Linked DNA regions of Ovis aries. The protein of the gene in region 1 interacts with the protein of each later gene in a pairwise test. Links are inferred from orthologs where the notes say so. Each region holds a gene or a part of one and is shown on either strand. Other genes may lie near its edges.

What was found.
Region 2: the proteins of CTNNA1 (region 1) and ARMC8 interact in a two-hybrid assay, tested with the Homo sapiens proteins (2 studies listed by BioGRID and IntAct). The link is inferred for Ovis aries from reciprocal best matches to the Homo sapiens genes CTNNA1 and ARMC8.

Annotation. Positions count from the first base shown.
Region 1 is NC_056058.1:47,766,896-47,773,335, reverse strand, and holds part of CTNNA1 (catenin alpha-1), read right to left. Parts: intron 2,384-6,440; coding exon 2,277-2,383; intron 1,194-2,276; coding exon 998-1,193; intron 1-997. UniProt on the Homo sapiens protein: Associates with the cytoplasmic domain of a variety of cadherins. The association of catenins to cadherins produces a complex which is linked to the actin filament network, and which seems to be of primary importance for cadherins cell-adhesion properties.
Region 2 is NC_056054.1:251,533,482-251,539,921, forward strand, and holds part of ARMC8 (armadillo repeat-containing protein 8), read right to left. Parts: intron 5,249-6,440; coding exon 5,177-5,248; intron 3,845-5,176; coding exon 3,702-3,844; intron 3,598-3,701; coding exon 3,500-3,597; intron 1-3,499. UniProt on the Homo sapiens protein: Component of the CTLH E3 ubiquitin-protein ligase complex that selectively accepts ubiquitin from UBE2H and mediates ubiquitination and subsequent proteasomal degradation of the transcription factor HBP1.

The DNA.
Region 1 (6,440 bases):
AGCCAGAGGGCCACTGAGGCTCTCCCAAAGACCAGTAGAGCTCATGCACAGAGCACGGGAGTCAGTTCCCCTGCCCTGATAGCCAACAGCCCTAAAAAAAAAAAAAAAAAAAACCACCTATGTTTTTGTTGAAGTCCTCTTGCTGGACCAGAAGTTTAACAAAAAACTACAGGTCAAGAAGTTATTCTTTCAGATTTAAAGTCCTCTTATCTAGATAAGCAAAAAGAACCTACTATATAGCACAGGGAGCTCTGTTCAATATTCTGTAACAACCTAAATGGAAAAAGAATATGAAAGAGAATAAAAAAAAATAGATACACGTATAACTGAATCACTTTGCTGTACACATGAAACTAACATTGTTAATCAACTATACTCCAATATAAAATAAATTAAGAAAATAAAGTCCTCTTATCATGATTATTACATCATAATGATGGCAATTTTTCTAACAGTAACCATTGGTAAGCAGTGGGTTACCATTTCACTTCTTATTAATTCTGAGTTTCCCAAAACATGTTTCCTTTAAGCTCACATTTAAATTATTTTAAACTCAAGCCAATGCAAATATGCATGGCTGATTTAACCTATCAGTCTGACAGAAAGAGACACTGCCTAAGTTATTTTCAGAATTGCTAAACATTTTTCTATTTTATCACCCCTGTATCTTTAGCACAAATTAACATATTACACAGGATAAAAGATAAACTTCTGCCCCATATATTTCCCATCAAACTGTGTTAAAACATTCCTACAACTATTACTTAGAACATTGAAGAGAACTGGATTCAGATGCTCCAAAAAAGATGTTCGTTAATCACTCCTAATTAAAGCTTAAGCCAGTACAACTTAATACATTTCCAACAAGTGAATATTTGTAGTTACTTGAGCAACTGGCAATATATAAGAATGAAAATATTGACCACAAAGTCACCTTCAAGTATTATTTTTCTAGAAAAGCCGGGCTCTCTTCATACGAAAAGTGGTATTGACCTACCTTGTTTTCGAACATCTTCTACAGCAGCCACAAGCTCCTCCTTGAGAAACTGACTCTCCTTTGCAATTTTATCCCCCTTCTCCAAGAAATTCTCAGTTGCTTGTTCAACAGATGCAGCCAAAACATGGGCCTTCTTAGAACGACCTCTCTTCTTATTAGAGGGCCCCTTGCTATTGGTGTTTACCAAGGTTGTAACCTAAAAGTTTCAATTTTGAAAATTAAACTGTAGCCAACTAAAATTAAAAGAAAAAAAAAAAACAAAACACTAAGAGTAACATCTTTACAGATAGCAAGAATAAATTACTCATAGTAAAATGAAACATTCCATTTATGAGACTCTAGTATTAACAAATAAGATAAAATTCTCTCCATATTTTAAAATATTCAGCAATGATATATCATATTTACTTTCCAAAATAATTTAGCTATCTCAATATGTAAGTTAAGAAATATAATGAATATTTTAATTTCTCAAACATGATCACTAGGCTTTTAAGCTTCATTTTACAGATTAAAAACAACAAACAAATTACATGTCTCTATTATGGTCATCAAGAAGTTTAGAAAGAGGTTAACAATGAATTTTGGAGTCCAAGAAAATAATTTATTTATAATTTTAAAATATTTATTTTATATTTATATTTAAAATATCTTTATTTATATTTAAAATATTTATTTTCTTGAGCTCCAAAATCACTGCAGATGGCGACTGCAACCATGCCACTACCTCTCGTTTTCGTGCTCGTACAAGGTCTGTCTCCCTCACTCACACACAGACACATACACGTGCCACAATGCTACATGTGCACAGCAAGTTGCTAACAGTTTAATGAAATGTCATCACACTGTGATATTTGTATTTATAACAGAACATACCAAAGCTACGCTCTCAAATTAAATGACCTTCTAATAGATCCTGGACAAAAAAAGGTGTATTAAGCAGGGTGAACAGACTTAATATTAATAGTCAAGGTTCCATATCCTATCTTTCTTAGAAATACTTTTAAGTATTAAGTGGTATGCACTGCATACTACTAGCCCCTATTACTGCCAATCAAGACTGAAGACAACGGCATCAAATATATTTCTAAAAGGCTAAATGAATCCACACATAAATATTTAATTATTAGTGGAGCCAAACTGTCTCATTACTATCAGCCTAAACTCAACCACTCAAATTAAGGCTTTGAACTAAACAACTCTGCCCTGTGTTTATTACCCAGGCCTACAATTATGGAACCATATTATAACAACTATGTATTTGTTTGCAGATTCTTACCTGGGTAACAAGAGGCTCTAACAGTCTTTCAACTGCCAGAGTCCTGATCTCTAGACTTTTGGGGTCCCATTTGAAGTTTATGTTGCCTGTGTGGACAGCAGTCATTTCTGAAAGAGAAACAGCGAGTCAGGCAAATATCAAACACACATATGAAACATAAAAAATCTTCTCCTACTCAAGGACTTTTTTACACCAGAAAGTTACAATCACGACAAGATGAAAGAAATTCTTACCAGCCTGCACATGAGGGCCCAGTAACTCTTACATATAAGATTTTGAGTTTACAAACATTATGGGTACTACAAGAGGGCATTGCCAAATCATGAGCTTTTCCCCTTGGGCTTCTTTGGCACCAAGGCACTTCTACCTCCAGTTTTTTCATGCTAACCTAAAATCAGGATGAAAAGCTCAAGGAAAAGAAGGCTAATACAGAAGATGCTGATCTGTCTTATTCTGCAATGGTTATACTACACTTATTATCTAAAAGGTAAACCTCACTTCATTTTCTGATGGATTCTTGGAGAATATCTTATCTTACTATATTAAAACCTAACATTTCAATCTACTGTCTTCTGCACTGACCGCTATTATCACTCACAGCCCGAAGAAATTTCAAGTCACACCTAGTCAAGTATCACTGTATCACTGTCAAGGTAAACTTCCATTAGACAGAGGCTTTAAGACCAAGGGAAAAGATTTCAGCCATAATACCAAGCAATTGGTGTTTGCTTCTAAAAGTAGTGCCTCAAAGATTAAACAGAAAAACAGGTGAGGTATGTAGATGAGGTAAACACTAATATAAACAAACTGTTCATAGAAATACAAATCTTTAAAGGGTGCATTCTTATGAATTTTTACCTCTTGATTTTTCACTCTAAAGGAAAAATTAAGGTCCATGGAAAAACCTGGGCACAATGATGTTTACAAAAGCACTATATATAGTCATTAAAAACTGGAAACTACCCGTATTTCAAAAAATAGACCACTAAATAAACAAATCACAGAACCAATCACAAAATGGGATACTGTGCTGCTCTTAAAAAACTACATTAACGAAATTTAGGAAGAAATAATAGTATTCTCACTGCCCAGGTCTTTATTTCTATTAAATATTAATTCCTTAAAAAAAAATTTTTTAAGGTATATTCCAGGTCTGATATATCCTATTGTGCAGAAAGCAAGGAAAGACACAATGACTAACAAGAGCATATTAAAAAGATACAAGAACCAAGGGCTCCACTGGCTAAATTCACAAGTTGAATATCAAGAAGATGACTGTAACTGCCTATTCGCCATCCTATGACCATGCATGGTCAGTCGCTTCAATTGTGTCCAACTCTGCAACCCTATAGACCATAGGCCACCAGGCTCCTCTGGTTTGGGCTGCCATGCCTTCCTCCAGGGGATCTTCCTGACCCAACCCATGTTCTCTTGCACTGCAGGTGGATTTTTTACCTCTGAGCCACAGGGGAAGCTCTAATGATCCTCAAAAGGAAAGAAAGGGGTGAGAAGAAAATTTCTGTACAATAAATGTTCAACAGAATTAGAAAATGACCATTTTGTAAACCCCAATGTAATAACTGATTCAAACAAGGACTATCAATGGATGTTAACACCATTAGGCGATAGACTAGTGGGGAACAGACTATTTATAAGGTGCCAAATATCACCTGACAGGTTTTACTTAACTAATTACAAATGGGGCAAGACATATCTTTACAACATTGAGATCTAATGGCCATCTCCTTAAGTAACAAAATTTAGCACTGCTAATAATGCAACTCTGATATTACATGCCTCGGCATGTGAAGTGCCCTATATTCCCTAAAAAGTATTCTTAATGAAAAAAAAAAAGTTTTAGATGTTTTTCAAGAGCCCCAGTATTACTATAAACTGAGCAAAGTTAATTGTCCAAGAGCAAAATGAAAATTAAATATTTAACCTGAGTCTAATGAAGCCTCTGCATAGGGATTCTAAGCCTTTTTCAATGCATGGATCCCTTAAGCAGTCTTGTGAATCTTACAGACTAATGTTGTCTGGTAAAAATACAATACAAGCCACCTATGCAATTTAAATTTTTCTAGTAGCCACATTAAAAAGTAGAAAGAAACTAATGAATTAATTTCAATAATATATTTATTTAACACAGTATATCCAGAATATTATCATTTCATTACATAACTGATTTTTCTAAGTTACTGATTACATAAGATGGTTTACAAAGTACTGCTGCTGCTGCTGCCAAGTTGCTTCAGTCATGCCCGACCATGTGCGACCCCAGAGACGGCAGTCCATCTGTCCCTGGGAAGGCTCCCCTGTCCCTGGGATTCTCCAAGCAACAACACTGGAGTGGATTGCCATTTACTCCTCCAATGCATCAAAGTGAAAAGTGAAAGTGAAGTCGCTCAGTCATGTCCGACTCGTAGCGACCCCGTGGACTGCAGTCCACCAGGCTCCTCCGTCCATGGGATTTTCCAGGCAAGAGTACTGGAGCGGGGTGCCATTGCCTTCTCCGTACAAAGTACTAAGTGTTGGAAATCGAGGATGTGTTTTACACTTAAGGCATATTTACATTCAGACAAGTCACCTTTCCAGTGCTCAGTAGCCATGTGTGGACAGAGGCTTCAGTACTGCACAATGCAGCTATAGACCCTTTCTCAGAATTTTTTTCTTAATGCATAAAATACAATTCAAAAGATTACAAAGGAAATATATATATTGAGATTTAGCTATCAAAAGCAATATATATGCTCTTTATTAACATACTAAATAAGATGTCAAGAATTCTGATAACTACTTCAAAGTAAAATGAACACACACTTTTTCAAAATAGATTACAATTACTTCATGTATGAAAAGCACTGAGATTCCTACTGTTGGGACAAAGTTATAGGTTCAACTGAAGTTGGAGTTTGTTTTCTATTGTTAATAATAAATTCCTATTAATGATAACGAAGACAAAACTTTTCCAACCCATATTCAGTGCAGGTTAAAAAATCCTAACCTGAACTGAATTTCACAGAAGTATATAAGGGATACAGATGCATGTTAAATACCACATGGGAACAGACAATTGGAATATAAGGCATTCTTATAAAACAATGGGGCCTTAACTCTTCAAAAAGTCAGTATGGGGGTGTGGGACATAATTTAGACTAAAAGACTCAGCAGACGAATCTAATGCAAGACACATATCTCATTCGGATCCTGGTTCGAAACAAAACGATATTAAGAAGACATTTGCAGGAGAACTGGTAAATTTTTATATTAAATATTATATTCACTGGAGGAGGAAATGGCAACCAGCTCCAGTATTCTTGCCTGGAGAACCCCAAGGACAGTATGAAATGCATGCTTGGGGTCGCAAAGAGTTGGACACGACTTGGCGACTGAACAACAACAAATTAGATTATATTATGGAATTAATGCTCAGTTTCATAGCTGGCTTCCCTGGTGGCTCAGAGGTTAAAGCGTCTGCCTGCAATGCGGGAGACCTGGGTTCGATCCCTGAGTTGGGAAGATCCCCTGGAGAAGGAAATGGCAACCCACTCCAGTATTCTTGCCTGGAGAATCCCGTGGACAGAGAAGCCTAGTGGGCTGCAGTCCAAGGGGTCGCAAAGAGCACGACTGAGCAACTTAACTTTCACTTTTTTTCTTTCTTTCATAGGTGTGATAATGAACTGCAGCTGTATAGAAAAAGGACTATTTTTAGGAGATGCGTACTGAAATCTTTAGAAATCAAATGTCAGGATGACTGCAATTTTCAAATTCAGCAAAAGTAAACATACACAGAGAGATCACAAATTATTTAAAAATATTCGTAACTATTAAATCCAGATAGAGATCATGTGAAGTGGCTGGGTACATCTGAAATTTCTCATCTTAAAAATAAAGAAAATGTTGTAGAGGTTTATGAGAAAATGTTCAAAATACAGACTACTGAAGACAGAAAGTAGATTTCAAAAACAATATGAAGTACAACTGCAGTGGGATATACAAGCCAAAATATTAACAACGTTACATCTTAAGATTGGGGGATTAAGAGTGGTGTTAACTTTCTTTTTTCACAATTGTATTCTCTGATTTTATAAAATTACAGCTATTTAGAAAGTTGCTTTTGTAATGAAAGAAGTAGAATCTTTATTTTACAAGGTGCAAGGAGGA
Region 2 (6,440 bases), on another chromosome or scaffold:
TCAGACTCGGTGAGTGTCTTTAACACTGATTTCCAAGGACAGGTACGCATGTAAGCATCTTTTTTTTTTTTTTTAATTTTAAAATCTTTAATTCTTACATGCGTTCCCAAACATGACCCCCCCTCCCACCTCCCTCCCCACAACATCTCTCTGGGTCATCCCCATGCACCAGCCCCAAGCATGCTGCACCCTACGTCAGACATGGACTGGCGATTCAATTCTTACATGATAGTATGCATGTTAGAATTCCCATTCTCCCAAATCATCCCACCCTCTCCCTCTCCCTCTGAGTCCAAAAGTCCATTATACACATCTGTGTCTTTTTTCCTGTCTTGCATACAGGGTCGTCATAAGCCTCTTATCTTAATGACAGTAAATCAAGTCTGTTTAAGGAACACAGCAACACAAAAGCAACATGTAATCAAAACTGTTTAGGCAAAGGACAAGGAAAGGGGCTTCAATTTTCATGCTTGATAATAATATAAAAGAACAGGAAATTCTCAATTTCTCTCCCATAAACATCCCCACAATAAAACAAGATCATTTCAATAAGACTTGACATAATCTATTCCAAAACCAAAATGTGACGTAATTAATGAGATAAATACTTACTACATAGCTTACAAGGAGGAATTACTGTATTAAAATAAAAGTTCACAATTTTGAAGTCTGAGATGTTTTGGTAAGTATCAGTAACAGATTAACATTTCTAATAACTGTAGTGAGCTAATTTCAGTCTTCACAAGACAAGACAGTTTATATAAAAGCAGCTTCTCACTTACAGCCCACTCTCTGCCTACTACTGACACTTCACAGCATACATGATGGTACAGAAGAAAGAAGAATCCACCCAATCTGCCTCAGGGCTCTCAAAAAATCTCCTCTTTCATGATTTAAACACTGAGAGGATATTTGGCCCAAACCACAGATGGAAAAGGAGACTTAGCTCGAGTGCCCTAGTCAGTGCTGTCGTAAGTCCTGCAGCAATGCTCTTCAGATACGAACGCGCATTGCATGTATGTTCTCAGGGGATACTCTGTATGTATAGACTGATTCTGTAGGTCTGAAGTACGACTTATGATTTGGCATTCTATCAAACTCCCAACTAATGGTTGATGTTGCTGGTCCACAGACCACACTTTGACAAAAGACAACAGAGGGCAAGGAAGGAAACTTAAAAGAATACCACTGTTGGGATAAACAAGGTTTGGGCAAGATACATAAAAGCTAAGTAGGAAAATAGTAGGCTATTTTTGTAGAAGATGCCTACAAATAGAATCTTTTCCCCTTGCTTGTTATAACCCTGTGTTGTCATAAGCAGTTTAAACACAAAATGAGGGAATTTCCTGGCAGTCCAGTGGTTATGACTCAGGGTGTTCACTACTGTGGGCCCAACGTTCAATCCCTGGCCAGGGAACTAAGATACTGCAAGCTGCTGTGTTACATATCTGCAGTTTCTGGTTGATTAAACAAGGCAAAGTACAGTTACATAATTTCCCCCAAAGTCATTCATCTTATAAACAATTTCAAACTACACATTCTGCCCTCTTCAACAGGATTCTGCGCTCCTTAGTTTAGTGCCTGAGTTGCTATGGCAGCTGGTCTCTATACAATCCTACCCACAGATGTCAGTTAGTTACACTGAAATACTACTCTCTGTCATTATCCCATCCAGCATTTTTTAGAGTCTCCACGGTCTCTGAGGCATAAAATTGTTTCATAATTTAGGTATCCTATGAAAGTCCCTTAAGTCCCTGTGTCTTAATTTTTCTTGCAAAAAGAAGCTAAGTTGGTATATAGCAGCATTCTCCAAATTACGAACCACAATCCATTAGCAGATCATGAAATCAATTTAGAGAGAGAGAAGGAAGGAGCTGAGTAAGTTGACCAGGGTCAATTCCTTCCCCAATACTGGGCTGAGGGTTGGGGAAAAACTTCTAGGGTAAAGAAGATGAGTGATTGGCTTAATTTCTTTGTAAAAATGACAATCGGAAATCCTTAAGTAAACAGACTGATACTCAGATGGAGAGTTCTATATAGAATGCTGTGAGAATGCTTCCTCAATTTAGAAATGCTTACAGTAAACCAGTGGTTCTCAGAGAGTGGACCAGTAGCATCTGGTTTACCAGATACTAAAGTTTACCAGTTACTGGCAAACTTGTTAGAAATGCATATTCTCAGGCCCCATCCCACACTGACTGAATTAGAAACTCTGGAGGTAGGGGTCCAGGATTCTGTGTTTAATACGCTCTCCAGGTAATTTCGGTCCCTGCTCAAGTTTGAGAACCATTGTGGTAAATGGTCTATGGATTTATGAGCCATGGTTCCCCAAAGAATGTTACACAAATCCTCAAGGTATAAAATCAAGATGCTTCATAATTTAGCTCCCTGCTGTGTGAGATGACCCACAAGCCTCATTTACAGACCTTAGGCATCATTACAGGCCAGAGGAGCAAGTGTCTAATATAGGAAAAACAAACTCTGGAGGCACATGACATGTCCCTCTCCCTGCCTGCTTTGCCTATGCCTCTTGACTACTTATATTTTTGAAGTATTTGTAAAACATGACCCTGGACAAGATCTCCAATACATATGTGTCCACTTTGAAACTATGATTCTGCATCTCAGCTCAGAGAATCACAACCAGCATTTTTTAAAATGAAAAAGGATAAAATAGAAGTCAGAAGGCACCACATTTATGCAATTGTTTTGTGAAGACTATCTCAAGATATTCCCACCACCACTCTGCGCCCCCACCTCCCACCCCCCACACACAGTGTGGCCGTAGAAAATATAATTCTACTGTGAATTGTGGATAAGAGAGTTTAAAAAATACTAGCCTTGATAAATTTATTAAGAAAGCCCCAGATAAGCAACAGATAAAAATACACTCTAATAATCCCTGAAGTTTCTGAAAACCAATGAATGACTCTGAAGATCTTTAGATTCTCTCACATGTATTCTCTGATCCTAGCCTGGTAAGTAAGCCTCTAACAAGTGCTTCTGGTTCACCTTTTCAGCTGAAATGAACAATGATTCCCTTCCTGCATTAAACTATTCTGTCCACTGTCCTGCATATTCTCTTTTTCAAAGATGTGCCCTAGAACAGCTTCTTTTCTCTACACTTCTTGAAATCTTATCCATTATTCAAGATCAGGTCAAATTCTACCTTCTCCATAAAGCCTCCTCTACCAGATTTAACCTATAGTGAGTGCATTAAATGTGTTTCCTTTTAAGAAATTAAGAAAGGTCTTTACAAAACAAAAAACAACAAAAAACCCCAGCTTATAAATTTCTCAAGGTCTGGGACTACCTTTCACTGCTTTACAAAGCCTAGAACATTTGATATTTGCAAATTAGCAATTCAAATATTTCTTGAGACTTTTCTATAACATAGTTATCACAGCTAAGATCAGTTATGAGATGCTAAGCTAAGTAAATCAGAAGTATGCTGTTAGTAAAAATGTAACTTGATGATTGAAAAACACCTAAAACTCACTGTATACAGTAGTTCCTCTGGAGTGACGGGACTGGTGAAGATGGTGCGCAGGCATCGGAGGCAAGCTTCAATGAACTTCAGGTCTGGGGACAGTAGTCCTGTTAAGAGAAAACAGATTTGAGACTCATGCTTCCAACTTATATTTAAAACGCTGCAAACTGATTCTACTTTTTACCTGTATAAAAATGACTTCCTTACATACCTTGCAGTAAGGCAGGGATAATATGGCAATCTAGTAGAGACTTAACATTGTTTTCAGTACCCATAGCAAGACTTCCCAATACCACTGCACATTCAGTTTTCAATTCTGTGCTTGAGGTTTCTTGCTGAAGCAAGTACAATAATCTAAAAAGAAAGAACTTGATAAACAGAAGAGACTAAAAAACTTAAAAGTAAACATTAGCTAAAAGTAATGTTACAGAAAAGGCTACCAATACATCCCACACACTGAAAATATGGTAGGTGAGTTTACAGGCTGCTAGGAAATGGTCATATCTTTATATAAGCTGTTAATTTAATAAAGGAATATCGGCAGCGGGGAGAACCAAAAGAGATTTTCTTCTTTGTGAACAACAGAATTATCATACAATCTTAGTGTCAGAACTTCAAAATCTGAGAGTTGTCCACAAGCGATGTCCTGTAGAAACAGCCAGCACGACAGTCCACATTATCTGACACTTCAAGATATGAAGATTCCCAAAGCCAAGTGCTGGTGGATCTTAAGGACCCTGAATATCCACTACCACAGTTCAGAGATCACAGACATCTAGCCTAGAGGGAATACTCAGAGTCCTTGTGCAGCTCTTCAAACAAGGGAAGTTCTCTTCTTTCTCTGATTCTCCTATTTGGGGCATCAAAAGATCCTATTCTATTCTAGGCTAGCCTGTCAAAAAACTACTCCCCAAATTCCAATTGTCTACAACATATGACTATCTCCTTTATGTTCTAAGGTACATCCTTCATGCTCCCTAAAGCATATTTATATATACTGAGCACTAGTCCCCTAAGAAAGGCTGCTGACAGCTTTACAGTTACCAATGGTTGATTATAATAAAAACAACAAAACCATTAAACAATCCTACATTAAAAGACACGAAAGAAAAAAGAAGAAAGAAAAGCAAGACATTTAAAAATTCTGAATGAAAAATTTGTAACTGCACATAAAACTTAATTCTGGGTAGCAAAGGCAAAGAAGCAGTTAAACAATTATCACTGTCTGCCAAAAAGAAGCTTAATAGCTTCATCAGAAGACATGAAACTTTCTATGTTAATTTAAAAGCCAGCAAATTCTAAAAAGCAGGGTCAAAAAATAAATTTTTTTTTTAGTTTCAAAAAAGGTTTTGAGAATCCTAAGAAATTATTATCCCATCATATAAAAGTTGCCAGAGCTCTGAGGAGACCGGGAAGAATCAGGATGGTGTACATTGCTTATTTACCCAACGTGTCCTTTTATGGCAGGGTCAATGATCTTCCCAAACCTGTAAAAAGTATTCATATATTCCACTCCTTGGTATCTTAATTTTTTAAAAGAGATGCTTCATATACTTCAAAGCATTTATTAAAAAAAAAAAAAAGTAGGACAGACAATACAGAAAAAAGAAGGGTCTTATGACTGAGAATGAGAACACATCTGAAACTTCATATGAATAGCAGAAAAGGGGATAGTAGCAAACTTACCTTGGAACAGCTCCTAAAACAATGAGGTTGGCTTTCTGCTTGTTGTTTCCAATTACAGCATTTTTCATGTCTCTGAATTCAAGGAAAAGAGAAAAGGGTAAGATGTGTTGAGATACTAATTTATCTTTATTTTACAGCATCTTGGATTGTCAAGTACGGATGTTAAGTGACAAAGTAAAACCCTGACACTTCTCTGCTTGGAGTGCTAAAGAGACGGGACAGAGACAGGGCTGTGCAACCAGGGGCTATGAAACAGGAGGGCAGCAGTGGAGGGGGAGTGAGAGACAGCCTGAGAATCAGCAAAAGACTTTCAATACAAAGAAAGCCGAGTTCTTCAAAAAAAAGACCACCGATCCTTTGAATAATAAGAAATACAGGCTATCTTCTCATGCATAGCTCTGGGAGTAGGCAGTAAAAGCAGCCAGCCCAAGGAATAGACCTGACCTTGTTTCAGGGACCATGACTTTACTTTCCTCTTTTTCTGACTTCCTTGGACCGAATATTCCTGTGATTCCATTTTATCTCCTTTATTGTCAAACTAGCTGTACTTCTTTGGGTTTTGTTTTGTTGTTTTGTAATGGTAGATTTACAGTTTACAATATGTACCTTTTAACTTATCACAGTCTTCAAGGTATAGTGTCCTACTTCATGTGAACTGTAAGAGCCTTGCAAACATACTTCCATCTTCCCATTCATTCTTTGACCTGCTGTTATACATCTTTAAACTAGTTAGAAACAACATGATATATTGCACTATTTTTTGGGGGGGGGGGCTGCATCATGAGGTTTGTGGGATTTTAGTTTCCCCACCAGGGATTGGACCCCTGCAGTGAAAGTACAGAGTCCTAACCCCTGGGCAGCCAGGGAATTTTCTATATTGTACAATTTTTGCTTAAACAGTCACTTTTAAGGAGATTAAAAAATACAAAAACATCTTTTATTTAAAATTTAAAGATATTTACTTATTTGGCTGCACCAGGTCTTAGTTGTGGCATGTGAGATCAAGTTCCCTGAACAGGTATTGAACCACAGCCCCCCTGCATTGGGAGTAGGGAGTCTTAGCCACTGGACCACCAGGGAAGTCCCAGAAAATATCTTTTATATTTCCCATTTATTCACCAGTATTTTTTACTCTTGCTACACTCAGATCTCCATTTCTCTGGGAGCGAAACTCTTTTCCACAATAAGAGTATCTCTATCAATGACCAGTTGGTTCACAAACACATGGTTGTTCTCAAAGGACAGGCAAAGAAAAAATAAATAG